7 linked regions of the Macaca fascicularis genome follow. The protein of the gene in region 7 interacts with the protein of the main gene of each other region in a pairwise test. Links are inferred from orthologs where the notes say so. Each region holds a gene or a part of one and is shown on either strand. Other genes may lie near its edges. The genes, in order: TCF7L2, FAM9B, PARK7, MX1, BTBD6, ETS1 and DAXX.

Region 1 (3,500 bases), on a different chromosome or scaffold from region 7:
TAACCTCTGCTTATGTCAATAGAGACCCTCTCCCCAAGCTGAAACTAGGTGTTTTGTTGTAATAATTAAAGGCGAAGTCTCGCTTGCTTTAATGGAGCCATCACACTAATTGAGGGCTACACATCCAAAGGAAAACAATAATGAATGTAAATTTATACCAAAATAAAGTACAGTGAATCAAAGGACTTCAGTTGCGCTTTGGGCCTCTTTCGGTATTTAGATCTCGGTGAGAAAACATTAAATTAACAGAGCTTAATTTGTAGCCTTTTGTCAAATTAACAAGTGTTGACAAGAGTTACCGGGGGGAGAGTCCCCAAGAAGAATTGTGGGTAACCAATAGACAATCACACCTCATTACAATAATTAAAAAATACAGCAACATGCAAAATAGCATCCTCATGAAAGACACACAACTTTTTCTGACAGAGGGTTGTCTGAGTTGGCTATTCCTTTTTATCTAGCCTTCAAATATCTCCCCATCAGCTGAATGGGGCAAATGATCACTGAGAACTATTTGAGGGTTGGCCCCATCTATTTAGAAGAAATGGGTCACAAGCTCATGTTCCTGTCTACCCTCCCAATAAAAATAAGGCGAGACAAAGAAACAGAAACTACACCCGGGGTTGGTATTTGGTATAGCTACTACATAATGCAATCTGTTTTTTTTTTAAAAAAAACAAACAAACCAAAAAAAAAAAAAAAATACAGGTAGAATTGTGGGGTAAGCCACTCCAAAATGTTATCTTCCTTAAGGCTTTGTAAGGCCGTCTTCCATAAGACTCAAACCTGAGTTTTACCAGGATTTATTCCTTTTAGCATTCAATGTATTGTCCTGTGTTGTTCAGATCACTGACAAACAAGGAGAAATATATCCAAAGAAACAACCACGAAACACATATTACACACGTGCTCATGCAAAAACACACATACACACAACCCGCCACAGTATGCTAATGCATCAAAGGCCTTTCTACTCTGAATTTAAAACACAGTTTTTTTAAGTTGCAAAAGACAGTCAAATAATCTGGCACTGCCAGGAACTAGGACTGATGCTTGTGAAGGCCCCACATGCTGCAATGACAGTTCCAACTGCCCCATTCCCACTGTTCACAGTCATTCACGTGCAAAGACTCTCAGAGAGATGCTGATTCAGTCCCAAGGAGCTTCTCAACAGACAAAACTTTCCACTGCTGTTGTCAACTTGGGACTAATGCTCAGCATGAGGTGGGGTGTCCTGGAATCATACGAGAACATGCCCTAATCCCAACCCCGGATTTCAAAACAAGGCAGTTCTTGTTCCCGCTTCCGTGGCCTCAAATATGTAACACCTAAAAGGGAGGACTCGGCAGCCTCAACCCAATGACATGATTGCAGTTTGGGAAGCCAACAGCAGAAAGGCCATGATCAGCTTCATTGGGTGGAAGTCCCAGGAGTCTTCTGCAATTCCCAAAGGATCTTCAGGGCACCTCTGTCCACAGAGACTTTGGGGACCATGGTCTCGAAATGCTAAGTGCCAATAACTCTTTTCCTACAGAATCCATCTGAATGGCTATGGATTTGCCAGGACACCTCAGCAACACCTTTCCTGTGCCCTCCCACAGCCCCCTCCCCAACCCTGGCTTCTAACACACACATACACACACACACACACGTACAGAATAAATAATAAGCATGCCCGTGTAAGAAACAAAAAGGAAATTAAAAAATGGAACTCCTTACTGTGGTACTAACCATCCTAGCGGATGGGGGATTTGTCCTACGGTGCCAGGCGATAGCGGGTAATACGGGGATATATCTGGAGGGTGCGGAGGCCGTGGGATTCCTGAGGGAAGAAGCAGCATTTTAGGTACAAAGGAGGGAGAGAGGGAAAGAGCAACTCGTTAGGGGATGGGAACAGGGAAAGAGGAGGAAGAGAGGCATCTCTTCTGGAATCCTAACACAAGGTTCATTTGTGATTACAAATCCTAAGAGTTGTTGGTAGGTTTCATCTCATTTTCCCTTAGCCTCAGTTTGAAAAATTAGTTTATCTCCTTCTAAATGGACTGGGATAGTGGGTAGACTCAGATATATGCCATCTTGGGTCTTTCTGCCTCACGTGACTGGTGTGATTGTTTCAAGTTTAAAAGAAACAACCTCAAAAAGGCTCGGCAGCTGGTGGGGAATGAAGCAATGGTAATCCCTGTTGCTCTTACAACATGGGCCCTTCACCCTGCGGAGTTTCATGCCTTACCTGCACGAAAGTTACTCCTCTGATTTCTAACAGACTTTTTGAGCTGTGGCCTTCAAAAGGTTACTACCCTTGCTTTTTTTCAAAAATGGTGACTCCTCTAAAATGTCTCCGCCTCTATTTGGATGAGCTGGAGAAACTGATCAAATGCCATGTGGCATCCTATCCAAGGTAGAACCAGAGCTGAACAGACAAGGAGGTGTTGGAGGCTTGTGTACTCCATTCTGGAACTTCATCCGCTAGGGGACAGAGTCACCTGTGGGGAGTAAGCCCATCTGCTGAATGGGCACCTTGTGCGTTGCAGGGGCTAAGAGCTTCACAAGGCACACGTGAGGGGATTCTGCAAGTACGTGCCGCCGCATGCCTGCCAGTTCCACAGGAGCACATTCTACAGTCGACTCTGACAGAGAAGAACTGATCTGTGCCGTTGAAGTGGGAGGCAAAAGGCACAATACCACAGAATTAAAACAGAGTAAAGGAGGGAACAGACTGCATGTTCGTGGATGAAAACGACTTCATTTTTTAAAAAATTCATTCAGGAAGCTTTTAATCTGTAAATTAAGTCTCCCTGGGTGACATTTTCATGCAGACATTGCTTTCTCTCTATTACAAAAACCAAACAGATTAGCTGGGCTTGGACCCTACACTGAGCCATTTGCACACTTGAAAGAATGTTCGCAGAGGAAAAGTAAACAGTCCACAGACGTTAATCATATGTTTTACGATAACCATTTAAAAGCTATTCCCTGTACTACCATTATTTAAATGAGACGTTGACGCTGCCATTCACTGGTGGAGCCTGGGGCCGGCTGGAGGAGGCGGCCAGGCATCCAAGCACCAGGCTCAGTCCTGCACCAGCACAAAGGGGCTCAGAGACCAGTAAAACCCAGCTCATGTGTGGCTTCTTTCAGGGGCAGTGAAGGCCGCCTAACCAGGCAGCCTACCTACCCCAGCACTACCAATCCCCTCTACCTACCCCAGCACTACCAATCCCCTCTAACGAAGTGATGCGTGATCACCAACTTAAACCCATCCTTCCAATTACTGAGCTGGGAAGGGAAACTCCTACCAACATACTGGGTAGCCTGAAAGACACACACTAAGCTTACCTGTTCTCCCAAGACCACCCCACCAGGAGCTGGGGCTGCCTGCCTGATTTAGATCTTGTTGAAGGAGAACTAAAAGTAACCCCACCTTCTCTCCTTCTCCCCTTTGGGAAAAAAGCAGTCAATGAACGACTGGGATAAAAAGGGGCTGCTGAGTTGGGTGTGGT
Region 2 (3,971 bases), on a different chromosome or scaffold from region 7:
CTATAACAGTGCAACTAATATTTCACACAGCAATATAAAGTTTATGAGTTTTTGGATCCAATTACATGTTTCTCACTAGATAGAAAAGTTGTCCTTACTTTTGTACTACACAGTTTATTACTGGAATAATAATAGAAAATGATTTTAGAGAATTCAATTTTCTCTTGTACTTCAAATAAAACAAAATCAGAAAGCTGTGACAATAGAATAGCTAAATTAAGAACATGAAAAACTCTTATTAAAAACTCTGAGTACATATGGACAGGAAGAAGGGACCAACAGACAACTGGGCCTACTTGAGAGTGGAGGGTAGGAGGAGGGTGAGGATCAAAAACCACCCATCAGGTACTATGCTTATAACCTGGGTGACAAAATAATCTGTATACCAAAACCCTGTGACATGCAATTTATCTATATAACACACCTGCACATGTACCCCCAAACTTAAAGTGAAAGCTTAAAAAAAACCTGATATATGACTTAATCTGCGTACACTAAAAGGAACGAATAGAGCTATTTCTCCTCCAATGTCCTCTAATATTCTCCAAACAATTAAATTTCCACGTGTATGAAAGAAAAGCCATCCATCTCGCTTCACCATTATTAGAAGCATTCTCACATTCCACATCAACAATCAAAGAGGTAAGAAAAATTTATCAAACAGATTACATTAAATACGTATGTTAAATGCTACATATGATAAGCCATTTAAGACAGTCTTGTCATCCACTGATTCATATAACTTACTGCAACAGTTGCATGATTGAAAACAATTTTCATAAACGACAGATAACTCCTAAAATATACCTGCAGTATCTTCTGGCTTCTTGGTATTAGCCCTGTAAAAAAAGTTACATCAAAATTTTAGCATAATACTACACAAAATGCCATGTTTGTTGGGAAAAGAAATGTCTTATGTGAAATGTTCTGCACAGAATAGAACAGTGATGACATGGTCCAAAGGTGACTTTTCCTAAAAGACCCTATCCGACAGGCAAAAGTGACTTAAACACTTTACCCCGTGTGCTCGTCTTTTTCAGCAAAAGGTTCTCTTTCCCCATGCTCATCAGTTACATCTTCCTCCCTTGTTTCTGTAAAAGGGTTTCTTTCCTCACATTCGTCACTGACTGGATCCTTTCCTGCATTAAAATTTAAAAGACAAACCTTTTTTAGAGGAAGACACTGTTGTGGACTTTTTTTGTGGAGAAATGTACTAGTTGTAGACTTTTTTTTTTTTTTTTTTTTTTTGGCTATCTGCCAATTAAGGCTTTAAAGCAGAGCTGTACATGGAATCACCGGCTTCTGACCATTTTATCAAGGCACTTTTGGAAGCCCTTCGGGTTCAAGTCCCAGTAAACAACGTACTACACGTCAGACCCCTTGGATGTCATGACTGCACTCATGGAGAAGAGCTGCTCTGGGAGCATCTGTAACCCCGCTATGAGGGGAGCCTTTTACGGGAAGCCTAAGGCCCTTGAGCCTGCTTTGAAAACCTGGGGCATCTTAGCACGTGCACGATGGACTCCAAAGCCACGAAGGGGCCCGGGTCCTTGGGCTACCCCTGTGCCCCCAGCGCAGAAAGCAGACAGACCGTCCTCTTGGGCGTGCACTTTCTTCCGGGTCACCTTGGGCTGTATTTACCTGCACGCTCCTTCCCCTGGGCCGCCATAAATTGAGCCTCCAACTGGGCCTTGGCAGCCCTCCTGCCCACAGGATCCGTGGCTGGCTGTCCTGGGAAGCTACAGGTGATCCCTGAACCTGATGAGGGCAAAGGCACACTAAGGAAGCAAAGGAACCCTGGCATCGGAAAGGAAAGCCATTGGGATCACAGGTTTAAGAAGGGTGGGGCTGGCACGCCCTGGGCCTCCTGTGGGAGCAGGAGGGGACCGAAAAGATGCCAGTGTCCCCTCCTGTCCTGGCCCGTCCAGCCCGTCCAGCCCGTCCCCGGGGCTGGCTGCAGAGCTCACAGCTGCCCCTCACACCTGAACTCCACGGCGTCTGCGGGATCCTCGCCGCACCTTTGGGACAGAACTCAGCCCTACCTCTGGGTCCCCCAGCGACCCCGTGTGGCTGGGAGGGCCACCGGGTGACACAGGATCTCCCCAGCCACCTCCAGAGGAATGTCAGGGGCTGCACTGTCACTCACCCGCCTGGATGCACAGGGGACCCCTGATGACCCCAAGTGTCCTGTCCTGACGGGAGGCCGGGCAGGAGGGCCCCACTCAGACTGTCCCCAACAACACCCTCGCCCCACCCCCACTTCCCCCCACCTTCCGCACCTCCCCCCAACACATGCACAAGCCCTCCTGGGCCCTAGGGATCACCCAGGCGGCTCCAGCTCCCTCCCTGCCCTGGCCCACCCCAGCCCACCCTCAGGGCCTCGCCCTGACCCAGGCCCCAGGCGACCACGCCAGGGGCATTTCCTCACAGGTCAGCGGGCGGCCCAGCGCTTCACACCCTGGTTCCCAGAGGGCCTCGTGCCTGCGTTTCCGCCTCCCCACCGCGAGCGCTTCACCTGAGGGACCCCTGATGTGGCGCCCTCAAAGAACCTGCAGACAACAGCACCACTAGGATCTCTTAGAAAACGGGTCCTCTCAGGAGGCTGAGGCAGAATGATTGCTTGACCCCGGGAGGCGGAAGTTGCAGTGAGCCCAGATCGCGCGGCTGCACTGCAGCCTGGGCGGCAAGAGCCAGACTGTCTCAAAAAACAAAAAACAAAAAACAAAAAAGAAAACAAGTACTCAGTTCTCGTGAGAGCTGCCGACAGCACTTCCTACGCTCCTCGCAGATTGGTCGACTCAGTGCACATGCGTGTGACAGGCCGTGTGGGGCCACGCCCCCTGCTGGCACGCCCTCCCCCTTCCCCTAAGTGACAGCAAGTGGTTGCTGTGGACTGAGGTGGGGTTGGCCCTTTGGGGCCTCTGTTCCCACATTCTTTCAGCTTCTGCTCCTGGGGAGGGACACAGGACTTGGTATGGAGGCCAAGTGGACAGGGCCTAGAACCTCGCCCTGGGGCTCTTTCCAGCCACCCCTGCCCCTTTGGCTAGAATGGCCATCATCCTATGGGTTGGGCCCAGGCTCCCTCCCATGCCCTGTGTGCTTCCAACATGCCCAGCTGCATCCTTTTCAATCAATGGATTGTGCTTTTATTGTTTTTGTTTGTTTTTGAGACTGTGTCTCACTCTATCGCCTAGGCTGGAGTGCAGCAGGGTGATCTCAGCTCACTGCAACCTCCGCTTCCCGGGTTCAAGTGATTCTCCTGCCTCAGCCTCCCAAGGAGCTGGAATTACAGGAGCCCAACACCAAGCCCTGCTAATTTTTTTTTTTTTTTTAGTAGAGACGAGGTTTCACCATGTTGTCCAGGCTGGTGTCAAACTCCTGACCTCAGTTGATCTGCACGCCTTGGCCTCCCAAAGTGCTAGGATTACAGGCATGAGCCACCGTGCCCTGCCCATAACCATTTTTGTTTCCTCACTACTTTTCTTTCTCATCCTCATGCCCCAGACTTGCCCACAAACCCTCATGCTCCAGACTTATCCAGACATATGCCACAACCTTCACCCACAAATTAATGCCTTAATACTTATCGTTAACTCAGCTTTTTCCCACCTCCAGTCGCCTATAATAGGGGGAGAGTTGTTTTGGAGTTAGGAGTAAATAAATATTGCCTAAAGTTTGTAAATCAAGATATAGAGTTTCATTATATTATTGAAATTATATCCCAGCACTTTGGGAGGCTGAGACGGGCAGATCACAAGGTCAGGAGATCGAGACCATCCTGACTAACACGGTGAAACCCTGGCGACAGAGCGAGACTCCACCTCAAAAAAAAAGAAAAGAAAAGAAATTACAAAGGCAGTCATCAGGAAAACTAATCCACAGCCTTAAATGTCTATATAACCAAAAAGAGCACACACAAAGAACACAAATCCTGTAGTAAAAGTTGGAAAATAAAGAAAATACTCCAGAGA
Region 3 (3,500 bases), on a different chromosome or scaffold from region 7:
TACAGGTGTCTGCCACCACACCCAGCTAATTTTTGTATTTTTAGTACAGATGGGGTTTCACCATGTTGACCATGTTGGTCTCGAACTCCTGGCTTCAAGTGACCCGCCTGCCTCAGCATTTTACAGTGCCATGATTACAGGCGTGAGCCACCATGCCCGGCCCCTCAGACTCATTTCTTAAGGAACAAATGCTTCGAAGAAATACAGTTGAAGCCTCCTTTGTAAATTTCTCCAGTCCCATGCCCCTTCTTCCTTGCTTAAAGAAAACTGCTGTCCTCGCAATCTTGTGTATCCATGCATGCATGTCTTTTTTTTTTTTTTTCTTGAGACAGAATCTCGCTCTGTCACCCAGGCTGGAGTGCAGTGGTGCGACCTTGGCTCACTGCAGCCTCTGCCTCCTGGGTTCAAGCAGTTCTCTGCCTCAGCCTCCCAAGTAGCTGGGATTACAGGCGTGCGCCACCATGCCTGGCTAATTTTTTGTATTTTTAATAGACGGGGTTTCACCATCTTGGCCAGGCTGGTCTTGAACTCTTGATCTCATGATCCACCCGCCTCGGCCTCCCAAAATGCTGTGATTACAGGTGTGAGCTACCGCACCTGCCTTTAAGGTAGTGTTTGACCGTGGTTCTCATTTTGCATGTTTATATATTCTCTCTCTCTCTCTCTAACAATAGTGAACACTGAAGTAGAACTAACTCTGTGCCAGGCATCATTCTAAGTGCTGATAAACCTTACAACAACCCTGTGAGTTAGATACCGTCATCCTCATTTTATGGTTGAAGAAACTGAGGTACAGAGACATTAAATAATGTACCCATGTCACACAGTAAGTCCAAAAGCCGGAGCTCAGACCCAGGCAGCCTGGCCCCAGAGTCTGTTAACCCTATACTCCTCTGGTTCTCAGAAATGAAGACATTATGTCGATTTAGTTTATTCATTTAAAATTGCTGCCTGATGTTGCACTGAATGCCACAATCTACCCATTCCTCTAATTACAGCATTACAATTCTGTAATAAGTATTCTTGTGTCGGTTTCCTTGTGCAAATGTGTGGAAGTTTTTTGAGGTTATATATCTAAAAGTAGAATTACTAGGCCGAAGGACTGCCCATAGTCAGCATGACTAGGTTTTGCCAAGTTGCTCTCCAGTGTCCCAGTTTGTAGTCCCACCAGCAATGTAGGAAAATTCCCACTTTCCCAGTGCCAGCTCTTGGTATTGTTGACTTTAAAAATTTTTGAAAGATAAAGCAGTATTTCATTGTTTTGACTTGCATTTCTATTTTACAAAAATACCATGAGGTTTAAATGGCAACAGTAAACTTGCAAGGTGAGTTATTAACAGGATGATCATATAACTGGTCACCCAAATCAGAACGTTTGTGGGAGAAAGGATGTCCAGTCACACAGGACAGGGCAGCAGCTATAAGTAGAGTCTGTCCAGGCAAACCAGGGCAGACCTAGTTATTAAGTATATTTAGCCAATGTATTAGTTCACATTTGATATAGTTGTGGTGCAGTATTTCCTACCATGTTACTTTCAAACAGGGCAGCTGTGTAAATGTTACTGTAGCTGGGTGTGGTGGCTCATGTCTGTAATCACAGCTACTTGGGAGGCTGAAGCAGGAGGATCGTTTAAGCGCAGGAGCTGGAGGCTGCAGTGAGCTATGATTGTGTTACTGCCCTCTAGCCCAGGTGACAGGGTGAGACCCCATCTCTATTTTTTTTTAAAGACAGTGTTAGTCTGAATTTATGTTTCAGTGTTCTTAACTATGATAACATCTTTCTTGTAGATTAAGGTCACCGTTGCAGGTCTGGCTGGAAAAGACCCAGTACAGTGTAGCCGTGATGTGGTCATTTGTCCTGATGCCAGTCTTGAAGATGCAAAAAAAGAGGTTTGTAATCCATACATGGAGGTATTCCTTCATACGGCTTCTTTGTTTCTTGAAATGTCTAAGACTGTTGTTAGCACAGACTCATTTTAGAAAATGATTTTGCTTGAATGTCTTCCCCTGACAGATTAAGAGGGTGAGGACTTTGTCTTTCTATTCTGTATCCATAGAATGTGGCAATTGCTTGCTACTGAATGTGCTCAGTAGGTGGGTGGCTGGGTAGATAGGTGGCCGGTTGGACGTGTGGCGAGATGGTTGAGTTGGTGCTTAGTTGGATGGCTGCATCGTTCTCCCATCAGTATTCTTCCGGCTTACACAGGTATCTTTGCCTCCTATTACACATTTTTACCTGCTATAAATCAACTGCCACATTTTCCATTCTTTTTTTTTCTTTTTTAGAGGCATGATCCCGCTCTGTCCCCTAGGCTGGAGTCCAGTGGTACAGTCACAGCTCACTGCAGCCTCAACCTCCCAGGTTCAAGCAATCCTCCCACCTCAACCCCCCAAGTAGCTGGGAATACAGGCATGTGCCATGCCCGGCCATTATTCTTTTTTCTAAAGATACTTTCAGAGTTCCACTTTAGTTGTGTTCCTTTTTCAGTATCTTTAGAATTATGACTCTTACGTTTAAGGACTATGGACACTTCTGGAAGCTAGCATCCCTTTCCTCAGAAACATGCTCCCCCACAGGCGCTTTTGCAGACTCCATCGTCAGGCAGGGTGACAGGAGTGTGGACTGTACCCTCTGACAGCAGAGTCATGGCGGGAAAGGAGGCAGAGTTGGCTCACGAATGGCTGGTTGTGCACTGCTGAGGAACCTGGAGTGCGATTCCCTGTGCTGTCCTCAGATACATAGGAAGAAGTTTAATCCTTTCTAATAAGTTCAGATTTTTCATTACTGGATTGTAGAAAATTAGACTGTTGGTATTTACATATGATTTGTTGAAACAAATTAAAAATGACAAGCAGAAGTAAATATTCCAGGCCAAGTGCAGTGGCTCACCTGTAATCCCAGCACTTTAGGAGGCCAAAGTGGGAGGATCACTTGGGGCCAGGAGTTTGAGACCACCCCGGGCAAGATAGTGAGACCCTTTCTCTGCAAATTAAAAATGTTAAAAGCCAGGCATGGTGGTGCACGCCTGTAGTTCTAGCTACTCAAGAGGCTGAGGCAAGAGGATCACTTGGGCTCAGACGATTGCTCGAGCCCAGGAATTTGAGACTGCAGCGAACTGTGGTTGTGCCATTGCCCTCAGCCTGGGTGACAGAGCAAGACCATGTCTCAAAAATAATAATAATAATTTTTTTTTCATTTCTGTTTGTGTTTGTGTCATATGGTGTCTGGCCATTTTAAAACAGTGATTACCTTTATTTTCAATCGACAGATAATAAGTGTACATATTCATGGGATGCGTGATGTTTCCGTGCATAATATATAGTGATTGGATCAGAGTAATTAGCATATCCATCATCTCAAACATTTCTTTGTGTTGGGAACGTTCAATATCCTCCTAACTATTTGAAGCTGTGATTATTAACTACAGTCATCCTACAGGGGTATAGAACACCAGAACCTATTCCTCCTATCTAGCTATAATTTTGTATCTTTTAACAAA
Region 4 (2,455 bases), on a different chromosome or scaffold from region 7:
TCCACCTCCTGGGTTCAAGCAATTCTCCTGTCTCCGCCTCCCGAGTAGCTGGGACTATAGACACATGCCACCACACCCAGCTAATTTTTGGATTTTTAGTACAGACGGGGTTTCACCATATTGGTCAGGCTAGTCCTGAACTCTTGGCCTCCCAAAGTGCTGGGATTACAGCGTGAGCCACCGCACCTGGCCTGGCAACCTCTTCTTGACTGGACCTTGTGCTTTTCAACTCCATGCTAGGTACCCAGTGACTCAACAAATTGGACACTTGATCAATGCACATTATTAACAGTTAGCACCGCTGGCTTCATATTGTTTCATTTTTTTTAAAGTGTGCTCCCCCATTTCCCTCCAGTCTGTAGGAAATCATCAGACCCTGTTCTTTTGCTCGCTCCTACCTGGCCCCGCCATGGAGGGCAGCTTTAGCGCCGACTGCTCCATTGCGTCCTACCTGCTAGTTTCAGGCTTCTCCCCAAAATACAAAACATGGCAGAGCCGTGTCCACTAGAAATAAGTTTATTACAAACGGAGGAGACAGGGCTCTGACAGGACTGACACACATGGCACTCATGCTCCTAAAACACTGGATTGGTGTAGGGACATTACAAACACCAGGAAATAAGCTTCTGTGATGCTCAGCCCATGTCAGCTCCTAAGAATACAGAGAAGGGGAAGAGCTGCCAGGCGGAGCAATTCTGAGGGCTGAAAATCCCTTTCCCAGTACAAAGACAGCATCCTTCATCCCCACCAGCTCATGTGCATCTGAGGGTGGGGCTTTGTCTTCATGCTGGAAACCAAACTGCTCTCACAGCTTCTTGCTAAATTGCCATGGGCTAATGGATAAGCAGAGACTGTGACTATCAAGTCTGACTACTGAGCACTCAAGTAGTCTGTTCAGTGGTTACCTGGGAACAGGGGCAGACGGTGTGAGTGTACCTCTACAGGGCTGGACAGAGCGTGGTTAGCCAGGGAACTGGGCGAGCCGGCGCCGAGCTTGCGTCAGCCGTGCAAGTCTCTCCTTCAGGAACTTCCGCTTGTCGCTGGTGTCGCTCCGCTCCTTCAGGAGCCAGCTATAGGTGTCCTTGTCCTGCAGGAGCTGCAGCATGGCCTTCTGAAGCTGCTGGCCATACGTCTGGAGCATGAAGAACTGGATGATCAAAGGGATGTGGCTGGAGATGCGCTTGCTGGCCTCCTGGAAGGAAAGAACAGTTCATGGGAGGGTGGAGGGGACACTGTGAGGAAGGGACTCTGACTTCACCATGTGCACATCAGCGGATCCAGATTCTCAATGAGGGACACCCTCGCGAGGCAAGGACCTTTCCCTGGGTTTCAAACCCACCAATCTCCTCCATGGTGGTGGCAAAGAGGAACAATGCACAGTGCAGAGAATGTCCCAGCTATGAGTCATATTCCCACCAGCTTTTCCTGACCATTAAATGGGTACCTCTGATGGAAGGGGGCAAAATATGCTCTATAAAGGTAAGCAGGCAGACAGTGCAAAAACTGCATTTCCAGACCAGCCTGGTCAATGTGGTGAAACCGCCTCTCTATTAAAAATACAAAAACTAGCCAGGTGTGGTGGCACGTGCCTGTAGTTCCAGCTACTCGGGAGGCTGAGGCAGGAGAATCACTTGAACCCCGGAGGCCAAGATTGCGCCACTGCACTCCAGTCTGGGCGACAGAGCAAGACTCTATCTCAAAAAAATTTAAAAAAGAAAGAAAAAAAAACTGCATTTCCAAATTATTTACAAGTCTGCCAAAGAGATTTGAAGGCTGCTGCTTATTTTTAATCAACACTCAAGTGACTCAGTAGAAAAAAACATTGGGCTTTCAAATGCCACGGAATGGAGCTGCCTGAGTTACCTGCATGTAGACAGTTTCTACCACTTCCTTTCTCCCTCCCCAAAGTCCCACCTATTAGCAAAACTTTCTTCTTTCCCAGGATGGGTGGATCTCAGGAAGTTGCAGTGTACTGGTCCCTCAGCAAGGTTCTGGTATCTTCTCTATAAAACAGGGCTAATGTGAGGCACTGGTCTCATGGGGTGATTAAAAGTATTAAAGGAGTTAAAAGATGAAATTTTAGAAAGATGCAAGTTTAGAAAGATGCCAGGCATGTAATAAGCACTTCGTACTGGTGAGACTGAGGCGGAACTCCCGATCCATGTTCTGTGACCAGAGTGACCGAGAGGCGGGGCGGTCACCACCTGGAAATGGGGGAAAGGAGACAGCACCAGGCTGAAGGCAGGCATTCAGGGCAATGCTGGAGCCCCAGACAGGGGCAGACGGTGTGAGTACTCACCAGGAGAACCGAGGAGAATCAGCTGCAAAACTGCTACAAACAGTAAGAGTCAGGACGGGTGTGAGGTATGGCATTGATACATCTAAAGCTCATATACCAAAATCACATCTAACACCAACGAACAGGAGACACAGAGGGAGAAAAGCTGCTTGACAG
Region 5 (4,279 bases), on a different chromosome or scaffold from region 7:
ACAGTCCGTTCATAGGGTAGGACTCTGAGGTGCTAGTGATGCATTAGGACATAGAGACAACTAGGCACCTGGTGTTTCCCAGGGTGGCCCGGAAGCCAGCCAGCGACCCAGGGGACGGATGGGCTTCACTGGGGTGCAGTTTGCTCCAGACCACGTAGCATGTTCAGCATGACAGCTTTTCTCCTCGGGATGGGAGCTGTTCTGTTGCATGAGAAAGAGAATACCCCACTGTACAACTGTAGTCATTTACTGACACACGAGTGTTATTTTAGGCAACCTTTATTACAGAAGTCCACTATTTTAAGTGACTTTTTGCCGATTTTAGATTTGAAGGGAAGGTCTCAAGTTAAGCTTGGAACCACTTAGAATCCAAGAGGTGGCAGGAACATCCAACCCCTCAAAGCAGGTGGCGTGGGTGCCACTGGGAGGGGATCTGGGGCCTGCCTTGTGCCCTCAATCTTCCTCCACCTGAGATGTGCACCCCAGTGTACCAGAGATGCCTATGACTCCAATCCCCAGGCTCTGGCTGTGTGGAAAAGGCCTCTACTTTACACAATCAAGTTTCAGCTGACTACATGTCAGAGAGAGACAAGGCTAAGAGCAGTTAGTACATTGACTTCCGCTCCGCTCACTTGCCGATCTGCTGCAGCCTCCCCGGGCACCTCAGGCGTAGAAGATGAGCTCAGGGATCTGCCCACCCTGGACCCCAGTCCCGTTGGTGCTATCCGAGGAGCACTGGAACTGGAAGGCCACCTTTCCGCACTGCACTTCCGTCATCCCCTCCTGCCCAAAGTAGCTGAGTTCGCTGCCATCCAGGACGGCACTGGCCGTGTAGAAGGTGTCTTGTTCAACCTGGACCGGGTGTTCAAACCAGACCGGGAAGGTGTTACTGGATCCGTCTGACATGAACTTGGTCAGGTTCTGAGCCAGAACCACCCCGAGCCGCTTGAGCTCAATCTTCACGCTGTACTCAGCCTTCCCAGAGCTGGACCCATACAGGCCCAGCCCTGCAATAAATACCCTTCTGTCCACTGCAAACTGGATGCTGTCACAGCGCCCGCGGTACCGCCACTGGTTGCTGCGGTAGGCAGAAGACTGGAATCGGTGGCACCTCTGCGGGGCGAGGCCCTTCCTCTTGGTCAGGGGGAAGTCCAGGCGGGGCTTGTTGGTGGCCGTGTACCACAGGAAGATGCTGTGGGTCTCCTCCAGAGTCAGGATGTCTGACTGGGCAGCGCCATTGGCAAACTCCTCTAGGGTCATGGTTGGAATTCGAACCAGATAGAGGGCTCGCCCCAAAACATGCCTCTTGTTTCGTGGGGTGACTGGCAGCCCCTGCCTCTTGCACTCTGCCTCGGCCCAGTTCAGGACGGCCTCGAAGACCACTGCCTCCTTGGTGTTGAGGGCCTCCCGAGTGACAATAATCTCCAGCGTCTGCCGGTCTATCTCACAGAAGCCTTCGGACCGTAGGGCCATCTCGGCCTGTGCATCGATGACCTCCCAGCAGCGCTGCGTCAGCTCAGGCTCCTCAAACAGCCGGCTCTGGGACAGCAAGACACAGGCGTTCTTGGCTTCCAAACTTGTCTCCAGAAAGTTGACACAAGCTTTTGCCAATGCTGGGACGATGTACTTCTTAGCAGCGTAGAGAGTGGCCAGCACCGTGTCAGCTTCCAGATCGATCTCATCACTGTACATGTACCTAGGCGAGGCAAGGCCCGCGTCAGGGGCTGGCTCCCAAGCACCTATTGCGGGGCTGGGCCTGGGAGAGTCGTCCATCAGCTCCTGTGTGCTCCCCCTCAGAAGCCACGGGAGGCCGCCTAGAACGGAACCACCCGTCCTTCCCCAGTACAGAGTGGACTTACTTTAACAGGATCAGAAAGGCTGCGGGCTCCACGTCGGGAATGTGAATTTCAGATTTGACTTCCGCCAGGTCCCCGTAGAACATGGCATAGAAGACGGAGCTTCCGACAGCCAGGACGTACTGGGAGGAGAAAGCGCCGCCGTGAGCCTGGCTGTCCCGCGGGCTGCGGGCAGCCACACGGCAGGCGGGGCACGCCTTCCGAGAGGGGAGGGGTCGCCGCTACCCACCTTGTGGGCGGGCACCGTCCTGGTCGCCCCCGGGGGCCCCACGACGAAGTGCACGTCGGCCATGAGCTCGTTGTTAAACATGAGCGCGTTCCTGCAAAGGCAGAGGCACGGGCTGGGGGCGCGGGCGCGCGCGGGTGCGCGGGCCGCGGGGGGCGGGCTCACCTCTCGCGCAGCGTGGGGCGGCAGCACCGCCAGCCGGGGCTTTCCGGGTGGTTGTTGCCGAGTGTGGGGGGCGCGGGCGCGGGCGGCGGGGGCGCGGGCGCGGGGGCGCTGGGCGGGCTGCGCGGCCCGGCCTTCCTGCCCACGGCGGCACCGGCGTTGCTGTTGGCGAGGTCCGCGGCCGCGGCGCTGGCGGGGGCGTAGAGCTCCGCCGCCATCTTCGCGGGCGGGGCGGCGGGGGTGGCCTCGGCGCCTGTGGACGCCGCGCCCCGCGCCCTCGCACCGCGCCGGGGCCTTGGGAGCGGCTCTGCAAGCAAAAGCAGGGAGGTCAGGCACTGAGCAACGCGGCCATGCAGGCAGGCCAGGGGCAGCAGCATGGGCGGCGGCGGCGCTGCGACCCGCGGGGTTGCCACCCGCTCCCTTGCCACCCCCGCCCCTGCGACCCTGCGACCCTGCCCGAGCCCAGCCTAGCGCAGCCCGGCCAGGCCCGGCCGCAGGGGGCGCCGTCCCGCCCGCCTGAGCCTGTACCCGCCGCGGCGCCGGCGCGTCACGCTGCGTCAGGGCCGCGCCCCGCGCGACGACGCTGCTGCGCGGCCCCGCCCCCAGGCCCGACAGCCTGGGAGCTGCTGGAGTTTCCGTGCGCTGCAACCGGCGGAAGACGCGCACTGTGCAGAGGTCACCGTGGAAGGCGGCTCCCGGCTCTGGCAGGCGGCTGCCCCCAGACCCGCAGTGCCATGCGCAGGTGCTTGCGCCCGTTCTTTAGTTAGTGATCTTTTGGTTAGGAACGCAGGTGGACCTGCTTGTTGGCCGTTTGCATTCCGGAGTCTGTGCCTCTGGCCGAGGCTTGTCGGATGGTCGTAGGGCTTCCTCGTTGGTTCGGATGCCTAGTGAGTTAGCTTACTGCAGACGCCAGCAGCAAACGCTCGCGGAGAGCGCGGTCCACTCTGCTCTGAGGGCTTTCACGGGCAGGAGCTGCTATTTCCTCGCATTTTCCTCGAGGAAATGGGCACAGAGAGGTTAGTCGCGTGCTGAAGGTCACACAGCGGGCGGTTGGGCAAGTCAGGATCTGGCTCCAGGCCTGCAGCCTTGGAGCTTGGGCCCCAGGGCGCGCCCTGCCTCTGTGGCTCTGCCTGTGGATCACAGTCGCAGGCTCGTTCCCTATGGGGCCTCTAGCCTCCCAGCCTGGAGCTAATCTTGGGAGGTGCGTGACAGTGGGCACTGGCTTTGCCGATGTGGAGACCAGACTCCAGAGACTGTGTCACCTGGCTTGGTCTGCACAGCCGGTGCACGCCAAGCTCGCGTGCAGACGAAGCTCCAGAGTCCTGGCTGTCAGGAGAGTTCCTCCCCGAGGACACACATGCAACCTTCTGGACCTCCAGGCTTCAGACTTTCAAAACTCCCATATATAGGAAAGCCCCCAGGACGCAGCCAGCAGCTCGGGTCATGGGTGCACCCATCACAGCAGTCCTGGGCGGAACAGTGAATAGGAGCTCTGTGTCTCTGGTCGTTACAGTTGTAGTAAATGTTCCCTGTAGTAAGAGTCCCCTTCGGAAGATATTTGCCGTATTTTCAACAAAAGACTCTCCAGGATTAATGAGCGACTACAAGTCAGGAAGGAAAAGGCTGACAATCCAGGTTTTTTAAAAAACGGGCAAAGGACGTGAACAGACACTATGCAATGACCCAGAGTGCACACATCATCATTTCGCCTGGGAATGGGGCTCCTGAGCCCCCAGGCGGCTGAACTTGAGACTTGTCACGCCAGTGTTGGTGGAACACGGAGCAGCTAGAGGTCACCTGCTGCAGGTGGGCGTGTAACTCCGCAGGGCCAAGCAGGGCCAAGCCCTTTGGAAAGCCGTAGCACATGCATGAGGGTCCAGAAAGTCCCAAGAGAAAGTGTGTGGATGCACCTACCAAGGACACACCCAGAGAGGCCACAGCTGCGATTTCATAGTGTGGGACCACACTGGCAAAGACGCACTGGCTGCTGTGGCCATGGTTTCTGTCCCAGCCATCTATTTCCATAGGAAAAGGT
Region 6 (3,500 bases), on a different chromosome or scaffold from region 7:
TGCATTTTTCTCAGAAACAAAACAATTTGGACACTTTACTAGGTAGGTTGTATCTCTGAGTGTTTATGTCCTGTTCCTAAAGATTGGGTGCATTTTACCTTTTTTGCTCTATGACAACCAGCTCTATTTTGAAACATTTTCTTCACTGACAGTGAACATTTTATCATTATTATAATAGTCATGTTAACAAAACTACCTTCTTTTGGAAACCCCTGGCCACCTCCTTCCCTGGTCCTCTAGCTAAATACACACTTTCACCACACTGCTGATGACTGGTTCCAAACAAACCGTTGGTTAACCATCTTGTGTCTTCCCAAACCAAAAAAGTCACAGGAGGCTAAAGATCCCAGGCTGGCCAGCAGAGGTCATTCCAGGTACCAAGCCAGGATCTACGGTCAGACCCAGGAGTCCTCTGGGAGGAGCACCAGGACACATGCTAAGCTCAAGGGTTTTCCAGGGTGGTCACTTGAACCATTTTTATTTGATTATGTCCTCCTCAAGGAAAATAGAGCATACCTTTCAAAGTGACCAAATTCAACCAGAGTTATTAACTGAGGGAAACATTTTGCCCAAGTAAGACATTTAATTTCTTAGATTGCCTGATTCTGATTTCACTGTGGACCCCATGGCCTTTGCCACAATAATGGACTTGGCTAAAACACCACGATGGAAAGTTCTTAGCATCTGGACACTCTAAGATGGGAAGGCTGAAACTGAGGAATCTACATGTCTAATAAATGAGAAAAAAAAAATGGAACCTGAAAACACTCACAGAGTCAGGTAATTCTTGTAAACCCAAGAGCTTTTAGAGAAGAAGTATGACCTACCACGACTGGCTCTCCCCATGCACATGTTGTCTGGGGTGACGACTTCTTGTTTGATAGCAAAGTAGTCGTTCTGCAAGGTGTCTGTCTGGAGAGGGTCCCGGAGAATGACTGAGGGGTAGTCGTTCTCATACTTGAGGGAGAGGAGCTCTTCCGAGCTGATGGGATGGAGCGTCTGATAGGACTCTGTGATGAAGCTGGGCTCTGAGAACTCGGATGGTGGAACACACTGGGCATGCTCGATACCATAGCCTGGAAACAAAGGGTTTGCAATTAAAGAGAGGAGAGATTTGTACTTAAAAAAAGCAGTTTTTCACCGCCTACAGAGGCCGTATGACGTGGAACAAGCTCCTTAGAGAATAAAGGGAAAATACTTTAAATCAGAAAGGCTTGGGTTTTTAACCTTGTCCACTACTAAATAGCTATGGCCCTTGACAAGATAATTGACTTCCTGACTTCACATTCTCATCTATAAAATGGGGGAGATTGCGATCTTTCCCGGAGCACTGCAATGAAGATGAAATGAGGATATAGGTAAAATGCCCACAACATTCCCCACACAATAAGCTCTTGACACAGGGTAGTTAACATCATTGTGTTACTGGAATAAAAATTGTAATCACGTAAAAAGATAAAATTAAAAAATAAAACCTGTTTAATATTCCCTTTAAAAGCAGAGCCATCAGATAAGATGCTCCTATATCTCAGAGCTTACATTAGTGCAACAGGCCTACAGCCATTCTTTCCCTCAGGCTATCTTTCAGTATGGTGGGGTATCTTACGCGAAAAAGGAGAAGGCTGTATTTCCTCTAATAGAATTTGAAGCTGCATAGCACACTCTTAAAGAAGGATTTTAGAGGAAATGCTGTCATCTCCACTAGTAAAAAGGAAACAACAAAGGCCAAGATCAAATTCCTAACCCAACCCTCTTTTGGCCATCATAGTGAACAGTACCAAATCAGAACAAAAGTTTAGGGGGTCCAGTTGCAGTCTCTCTGCATGACTTTCAGGTTGAAGGTATCAGAGAAGGATCTTAGTGTGTAGGAACTTGGTAGGTTAATGAAACATGTATATAGGTTGAAACTTGGTGCTTTGTGGAAAATAATAAAAGAAAGTAACAAAGAAGAGTCTACATCTAAGAAGATATTATTTTTGATAGAATTACTATGAAGAAGCCTGAGATCGACGGAGATAGGGGTCTTTTCCTAGTTTCCTATAAAGGAGTAGAAATGAACTTACTAATGAAGTAATCCGAGGTATAGCGGGATTCTGGATAGGTTGGGTTGACTCCATTAACTTGATATGGTTTCACATCCTCTGTAATGAACAGATAGGGAATGAACAACGAGGTCAATATTCAAGTCATGCTTGGCCTAAAAGGATCTTGGATGCAAAGACACAATGATCTCAACCCCTTTTCTAAGAAATCTGCATACTCATTAACTGAGTTGGTATCTGAGTCTATCCTGACTGTGACCTTGTCTAAACATGAGATCAAAAAAATATGACTAAAGTTATTATTTCAGTAGCTGCAAAATGGGATTTAGTATCTTGGAAAGAGAATCCATGAGTAATCTCTAAGGGCTGAGAAGGCATTCAGCATTCATTCTCAATGAATTCGTACTGCGTGTATGTCGACCACACTAGAGCCAAAGGCTTGAGTACATCACAGGTTAGCAGGATCAATCCCCAACCCCCAAACTGGTCAATTTCAAAACTTTTCAAAAATATATGGCAGTCTTCAGGCAGTAGATTTTATGTTCTCCATTTCCTCTAACAGATGTCTGGTTTTTGTTTTGTATTTTTCCCATTGCCCTCAGGTTTCAAGTTCAGGCCCAGACAAGAAGCAGGACACTGGTAAGGTGACTCCATTTGGTGAAATGTGACTGGGCTTGTATAAAGGGAGAGAAGAGCAACCCAACCAAGCTCCTGCCCAGATGCCAACTCCCCTAGGAAAAGGAGAGGAAGGGAGACAAAGTGCACCTGCGGACAGAAAGCTCTGCACAACACTGCAGTGAGCCTGGGATCCTCTAATTACCCTGGAACAAATGCCATGGCCTCCAATTCTTGTATGGAGTAGTCTGATTATATTTCACCGTAAGAATCTGACATAAAGAGAGTATGGGTTTGGGTTTTTCCTCAGGTATTTGATAGCTTGTTAGGAGCAAAGTCTGATGAGAAAACAAGTTTATGCCTGCACAGAAAAAACAGTTCCCAGTTGAGATAAAATGATTAAACTTTGCTTTAGCAGTTTATCAGATTGAAACATCCCCGTACCTCTGGCCTTCCACCCCACCCCAAACAGCTATGTTTTTTTGGTGCTGTGTTGCTTTAGTTTAGTTACAGAACAAAAGCTGTAGTCTCAGCACAAACATCATGCTCATCTCGTCAAGTAACTGAACCTGAAGAGGGAGAATTCTTTCTGCCTCTCTCAACAGAATATTGGGTGGGATGATAAGGCTTTTGCTCTCAAACATACTAACTTATATCCTAATTCTCTTAAATTTTCTTACATTCTTCCTTTACCCTAAGCGAGGCTAAACCAGTCTTAGGGGCCAAAAGGCCCCTGTGAGTCCACATTATTATACAAAAAGCACAGGATGGGATGTTAAATTTTAAGTTAAATAAAAATATATTGAGGCCAGGCATGGTGGCTCACACCTGTAATCCCAATGT
Region 7 (4,109 bases):
ATCCCTTACATCTCCCAAGTTCCAGTCCTCGCGGAGGTTTTTTATGTTCCCCATTTTGAAAGCTGTAGACTTTGACGACTGGAGAGAAGTGATGTGGGATTGTTCAATGGACGGGTGTTTGCGATTCTATGACTCAGCGTTAGGGATGTAGTAAATTCTGTGAACCTAGTTAAGCGGCAAGATGCCCACCACTTGTGGAAATGGGAATCTTTGCGATTGGGACCTTGTTAATCTTTCTGGTTTCCTCATAAGCTCACCTCTGGACCCAGCCTTGCCTCCACGACTCCCTCCAACCTCCCTAAACTCAACGAGGTGGGTATCAAGTCTGTTTCTTCATCCTTCATTCTTTTTTAACCTCTCCCAGAAGAGGAGGAGGAAACCCAAAGTATTTTATGAGCCTCATTTCGTTTCACAGCAGCCCTTGCAGAGGCTCAAACTCTCCTCCAAGCCCCACCCCATCATCGCCCATCCGCAGACCCTGGGCCTCCACGACAAAGCACGGCCTCACAGTCAGCACCGACGGCCCTTCGAGGACCCCCTCTGGAGGAGAACCATTCAGGTCCCAACCGTCTGGTCATTAGTTCTGTGGTGAAGCTTGAAAAGCAAATCAGCAACAATAGTAATAATAATAACACTTTTGTATGGCGCATTGTGCTTATTTGTACGCATGTGTTATAACGACTGTGGGACGCAGCACCTGGCAGTAGAAGCAGCTGCTGGACAGCGGCAAGGAGCGCGCCGCCCTTGCAGGGGAAGGGGCTGGGTCAGCCGAATAAGCCGTGGAAATGGGAACCTGGGGGACAGGAAAGCAGGGCCAGATAGCTTGCCAATAGCCTAGTTGAAGATAAAGGTTTTACTTCCCTTTTAAGAGACTTCTGCCATTCCCTGAAACCCTACGCAGCTTTGGAAAGCCCAATTCCTAAACCACCCTGTTCGGTTCCCCTGCCCCTCCTTGGAAAGGAGGCTCCGTTCTCCCCACGCGCTACTCGCCGGCGGTTGGACCCCAGGGAGGAAGTTTCTGATTGGCGGAGTCAGAGAAGCACCGGGTGAAAAGAGCTCCTCCGGCTGCGCACCGAAGTTCTGGCGTAGCCAGCGCCGTACGGCAAAATGGCGGCCCCCAGCTGCTTTGGGACGCCCGGGTTCGGGGAGACAAACTCCGACCTGGAAGACCGCGCTGACTATGTGGGCGGCACTGGAGGTGTTCGCGGGGCGGGCCTACGGCCGCTTCCGGCCACAGGAAGCCTTGTTCCGTACGACAATATGGCGGCGCTTAGTTGCATGCAGGCGGAAACTCTGTTGCTTCCGGTCCGTAGTGGGGCCTGCGGTGGGAGTGGGAAGGAAGGCGGAGGGAACCATGCGAGGTTCTGAGATCTGCGGCGAGGGTCGCCTCGAGAGACGGTTTCTGAGGTGGGGGCCGGATGGTGCGGGGATCAGAGGCGGGGGCGGGGATATCGAGGCAGAGGTATTGGGGAGAGCCGGGCTCTGAGTCTGAGGGGAAAACTGTGGTACCTTCCTATCCCTGAAAGGGAGTGGGGCGGCCGGGGGCTGAACTGGGGGAGGGGGATTTGGCGGGAAGCGCATCTACCGGACCGGCCGGACCCAGGGTTGGGATCTAAGAGGAATCGGGAGAGCGTAGCGCGGTGCGGGGGGACTTCTAATTAGTTACAGGTCTCCGAGAGAATGGGGAAAATTAGGGTGGGGTGAAAGGGAGGGGACTTGGGTAAAATATCTTCAACCTAAAGGCCCAGTTTGAGGAGACTCATCTGAGGGTGAAATACGGAGATAATTCAAGGAGGGGAAAAGAGAACGGACTGTTGGGAGGGAACCTCTTTCACCTCAGAGAGTCTAGGAGTTGGGGTGATCAGGATGGGGCGGGTGTGGGGTTGACTTGTTTGAGGGCAGAGGGGGCAAACACATGAGGTGGCGCCCACAGGAGTGTGTTGTCTGTGCCAGGGGGTGTCAGGACGATTTAGGGTGCAGTGTGGGAGAAAGAACCAACTTGCCAACTCTGAGAAAGAGTGGGGAAATGCAACAGAAAGACCGGAAATCGACGTGAGGGGTGGAGCAGAAGGTGGCAACTTAAGGTGTGGGGGGGTTTGCCCCCCCCACACACCACTTGAAGGGCCCGAAAAGCATATAGAACTAATGGTTATTGAAATCAGGTGGTGAAGACAGTGTTGGTCAGGGCTGAAACCCAAGGAGTTCAGAAAATGCGTGAGGTGAAGGGATGGGGCTATGCTGGAGGGGCTCATTCTGAGGCCCCATCCCCTTCCAGCAGGAATTCTGAAATCCCCACCACTTCCTCCTTCCGGGGGATTTGATTCCCCCATGGCCACCGCTAACAGCATCATTGTGCTGGATGATGATGACGAAGATGAAGCAGCTGCTCAGCCAGGGCCCTCCCACCCACTCCCCAGTACAGCCTCACCAGGGGCAGAAGCCCCTAGCTCTTCTGAGCCTCATGGGGCCAGAGGAAGCAGTAGTTCGGGCGGCAAGAAGTGCTACAAGCTGGAGAATGAGAAGCTGTTCCAAGAGGTGAGCTTTAGCGGGGAAGATCGTTGTACCCCAGGGAGGGGGATGGCTGACTGGCTCTCCTGTCCTTTCTTCCCCACTAACCCCACTCCCCTTTCTCTCAACCCCCTCCCTTGTCTCTCTTCCCCTTCCTTCTTCCCCTGAACCTTCTAGTTCCTTGAACTTTGTAAGACGCAGACAGCGGACCACCCTGAGGTGGTCCCATTCCTCTCTAACCGGCAGCAACGTGCCCACTCTCTGTTTTTGGCCTCGGCGGAGTTCTGCAACATCCTCTCTCGGGTCCTATCTCGGGCCCAGAGCCGGCCATCTAAGCTCTATGTCTACATCAATGAGCTCTGCACTGTTCTCAAGGCCCACTCAGCCAAAAAGAAGCTGAACTTGGCCCCTGCTGCCACCACGTCCAATGAGCCCTCTGGGAATAACCCTCCCACACACCTCTCCTTGGACCCCACAAACGCTGAAAACACTGCCTCTCAGGCCCCAAGGACCCGTGGTTCCCGGCGGCAGATCCAGCGCTTGGAGCAGCTGCTGGCGCTCTATGTGGCAGAGATCCGGCGGCTGCAGGAAAAGGAGTTGGATCTCTCAGAATTGGATGACCCAGACTCCACATACCTGCAGGAGGCACGGTTGAAGCGTAAGCTGATCCGCCTCTTTGGGCGACTATGTGAGCTGAAAGACTGCTCTTCACTGACCGGCCGTGTCATAGAGCAGCGCATCACCTACCGTGGCACCCGCTACCCAGAGGTTAACAGGCGCATTGAGCGGCTCATCAACAAGCCAGGGCCTGATACCTTCCCTGACTATGGGGATGTGCTTCGGGCAGTAGAGAAGGCAGCTGCCCGACACAGCCTTGGCCTCCCCCGACAGCAGCTCCAGCTCATGGCTCAGGATGCCTTCCGAGATGTGGGCATCAGGTTACAGGAACGACGTCACCTCGATCTCATCTACAACTTTGGCTGCCACCTCACAGATGACTATAGGCCAGGTAGGGGGTTAGTGGGATGCCTCTCAGTGACCCTTATATGTCAGGTATGAGGCGGATGGGGCATCTCTCTAGTCCTTTCTAGGGTTTGTACTCTTCTAGTCCCTTCCACGGCTGAGTGCTCTGACTTTATATTTTCCCACGTAGGCATTGACCCTGCACTATCAGATCCTGTGTTGGCCCGGCGCCTTCGGGAAAACCGGAGTTTGGCCATGAGTCGGCTGGATGAGGTCATCTCCAAATATGCAATGTTGCAAGACAAAAGTGAGGAGGGCGAGAGAAAAAAGAGAAGAGCTCGGCTCCAAGGCACCTCTTCCCACTCTGAAGACACCCCCGCCTCCTTGGATTCTGGTGAGGTGTGGATGGGGTAAAGCCTTCAGAGAGACATTGTCCTTCCCCTGCACTGGCCACCAGGGAGTCCAGGTTGACTGATGGGGGAGCATGAGAAGGAATGCAAGAACCAAACCCTCTAGGGCAAGGGATTCCTTAGAGAAACTTCTTTGTCCCCCAGGGCCCTAGTGGAATGGCATCCCAGGGGTGCCCTTCTGCCTCCAAAGCTGAGACAGATGACGAAGAAGATGAAGAGAGTGATGAG

Evidence for each region.
Region 1: the proteins of DAXX (region 7) and TCF7L2 interact in binary tests that used the Homo sapiens proteins (3 or more experiments, as listed by UniProt). The link is inferred for Macaca fascicularis from reciprocal best matches to the Homo sapiens genes DAXX and TCF7L2.
Region 2: the proteins of DAXX (region 7) and FAM9B interact in binary tests that used the Homo sapiens proteins (3 or more experiments, as listed by UniProt). The two-hybrid records come from large-scale screens. The link is inferred for Macaca fascicularis from reciprocal best matches to the Homo sapiens genes DAXX and FAM9B.
Region 3: the proteins of DAXX (region 7) and PARK7 interact in binary tests that used the Homo sapiens proteins (3 or more experiments, as listed by UniProt). The link is inferred for Macaca fascicularis from reciprocal best matches to the Homo sapiens genes DAXX and PARK7.
Region 4: the proteins of DAXX (region 7) and MX1 interact in a two-hybrid assay, tested with the Homo sapiens proteins (2 studies listed by BioGRID). The link is inferred for Macaca fascicularis from reciprocal best matches to the Homo sapiens genes DAXX and MX1.
Region 5: the proteins of DAXX (region 7) and BTBD6 interact in a two-hybrid assay, tested with the Homo sapiens proteins (2 studies listed by BioGRID and IntAct). The link is inferred for Macaca fascicularis from reciprocal best matches to the Homo sapiens genes DAXX and BTBD6.
Region 6: the proteins of DAXX (region 7) and ETS1 interact in binary tests that used the Homo sapiens proteins (3 or more experiments, as listed by UniProt). The link is inferred for Macaca fascicularis from reciprocal best matches to the Homo sapiens genes DAXX and ETS1.

Annotation. Positions count from the first base shown.
Region 1 is NC_088383.1:122,188,876-122,192,375, reverse strand, and holds part of TCF7L2 (transcription factor 7-like 2), read right to left. Parts: intron 1,823-3,500; coding exon 1,720-1,822; intron 1-1,719. UniProt on the Homo sapiens protein: Participates in the Wnt signaling pathway and modulates MYC expression by binding to its promoter in a sequence-specific manner. Acts as a repressor in the absence of CTNNB1, and as activator in its presence.
Region 2 is NC_088395.1:8,685,657-8,689,627, forward strand, and holds the start of FAM9B (protein FAM9B), read right to left. Parts: upstream 2,801-3,971; 5' UTR 2,516-2,800; intron 1,759-2,515; 5' UTR 1,670-1,758; coding exon 1,642-1,669; intron 1,140-1,641; coding exon 1,019-1,139; intron 840-1,018; coding exon 808-839; intron 1-807. UniProt on the Homo sapiens protein: May play a role in meiosis.
Region 3 is NC_088375.1:226,909,073-226,912,572, reverse strand, and holds part of PARK7 (Parkinson disease protein 7), read left to right. Parts: intron 1-1,788; coding exon 1,789-1,890; intron 1,891-3,500. UniProt on the Homo sapiens protein: Multifunctional protein with controversial molecular function which plays an important role in cell protection against oxidative stress and cell death acting as oxidative stress sensor and redox-sensitive chaperone and protease.
Region 4 is NC_088377.1:5,550,138-5,552,592, forward strand, and holds the end of MX1 (interferon-induced GTP-binding protein Mx1), read right to left. Parts: intron 1,193-2,455; coding exon 962-1,192; 3' UTR 501-961; downstream 1-500.
Region 5 is NC_088381.1:173,422,452-173,426,730, reverse strand, and holds BTBD6 (BTB/POZ domain-containing protein 6), read right to left. Parts: upstream 2,801-4,279; 5' UTR 2,622-2,800; coding exon 2,248-2,621; intron 2,177-2,247; coding exon 2,086-2,176; intron 1,979-2,085; coding exon 1,860-1,978; intron 1,697-1,859; coding exon 664-1,696; 3' UTR 264-663; downstream 1-263. UniProt on the Homo sapiens protein: Adapter protein for the cul3 E3 ubiquitin-protein ligase complex. Involved in late neuronal development and muscle formation.
Region 6 is NC_088388.1:127,004,279-127,007,778, forward strand, and holds part of ETS1 (protein C-ets-1), read right to left. Parts: intron 2,142-3,500; coding exon 2,064-2,141; intron 1,077-2,063; coding exon 828-1,076; intron 1-827. UniProt on the Homo sapiens protein: Transcription factor. Directly controls the expression of cytokine and chemokine genes in a wide variety of different cellular contexts. May control the differentiation, survival and proliferation of lymphoid cells.
Region 7 is NC_088378.1:138,379,598-138,383,706, forward strand, and holds the start of DAXX (death domain-associated protein 6), read left to right. Parts: upstream 1-1,309; 5' UTR 1,310-1,354; coding exon 1,355-1,407; intron 1,408-2,275; exon of another isoform or gene 2,276-2,328; coding exon of another isoform or gene 2,329-2,345; coding exon 2,346-2,535; intron 2,536-2,685; coding exon 2,686-3,517; intron 3,518-3,661; coding exon 3,662-3,870; intron 3,871-4,025; coding exon 4,026-4,109. UniProt on the Homo sapiens protein: Transcription corepressor known to repress transcriptional potential of several sumoylated transcription factors. Down-regulates basal and activated transcription.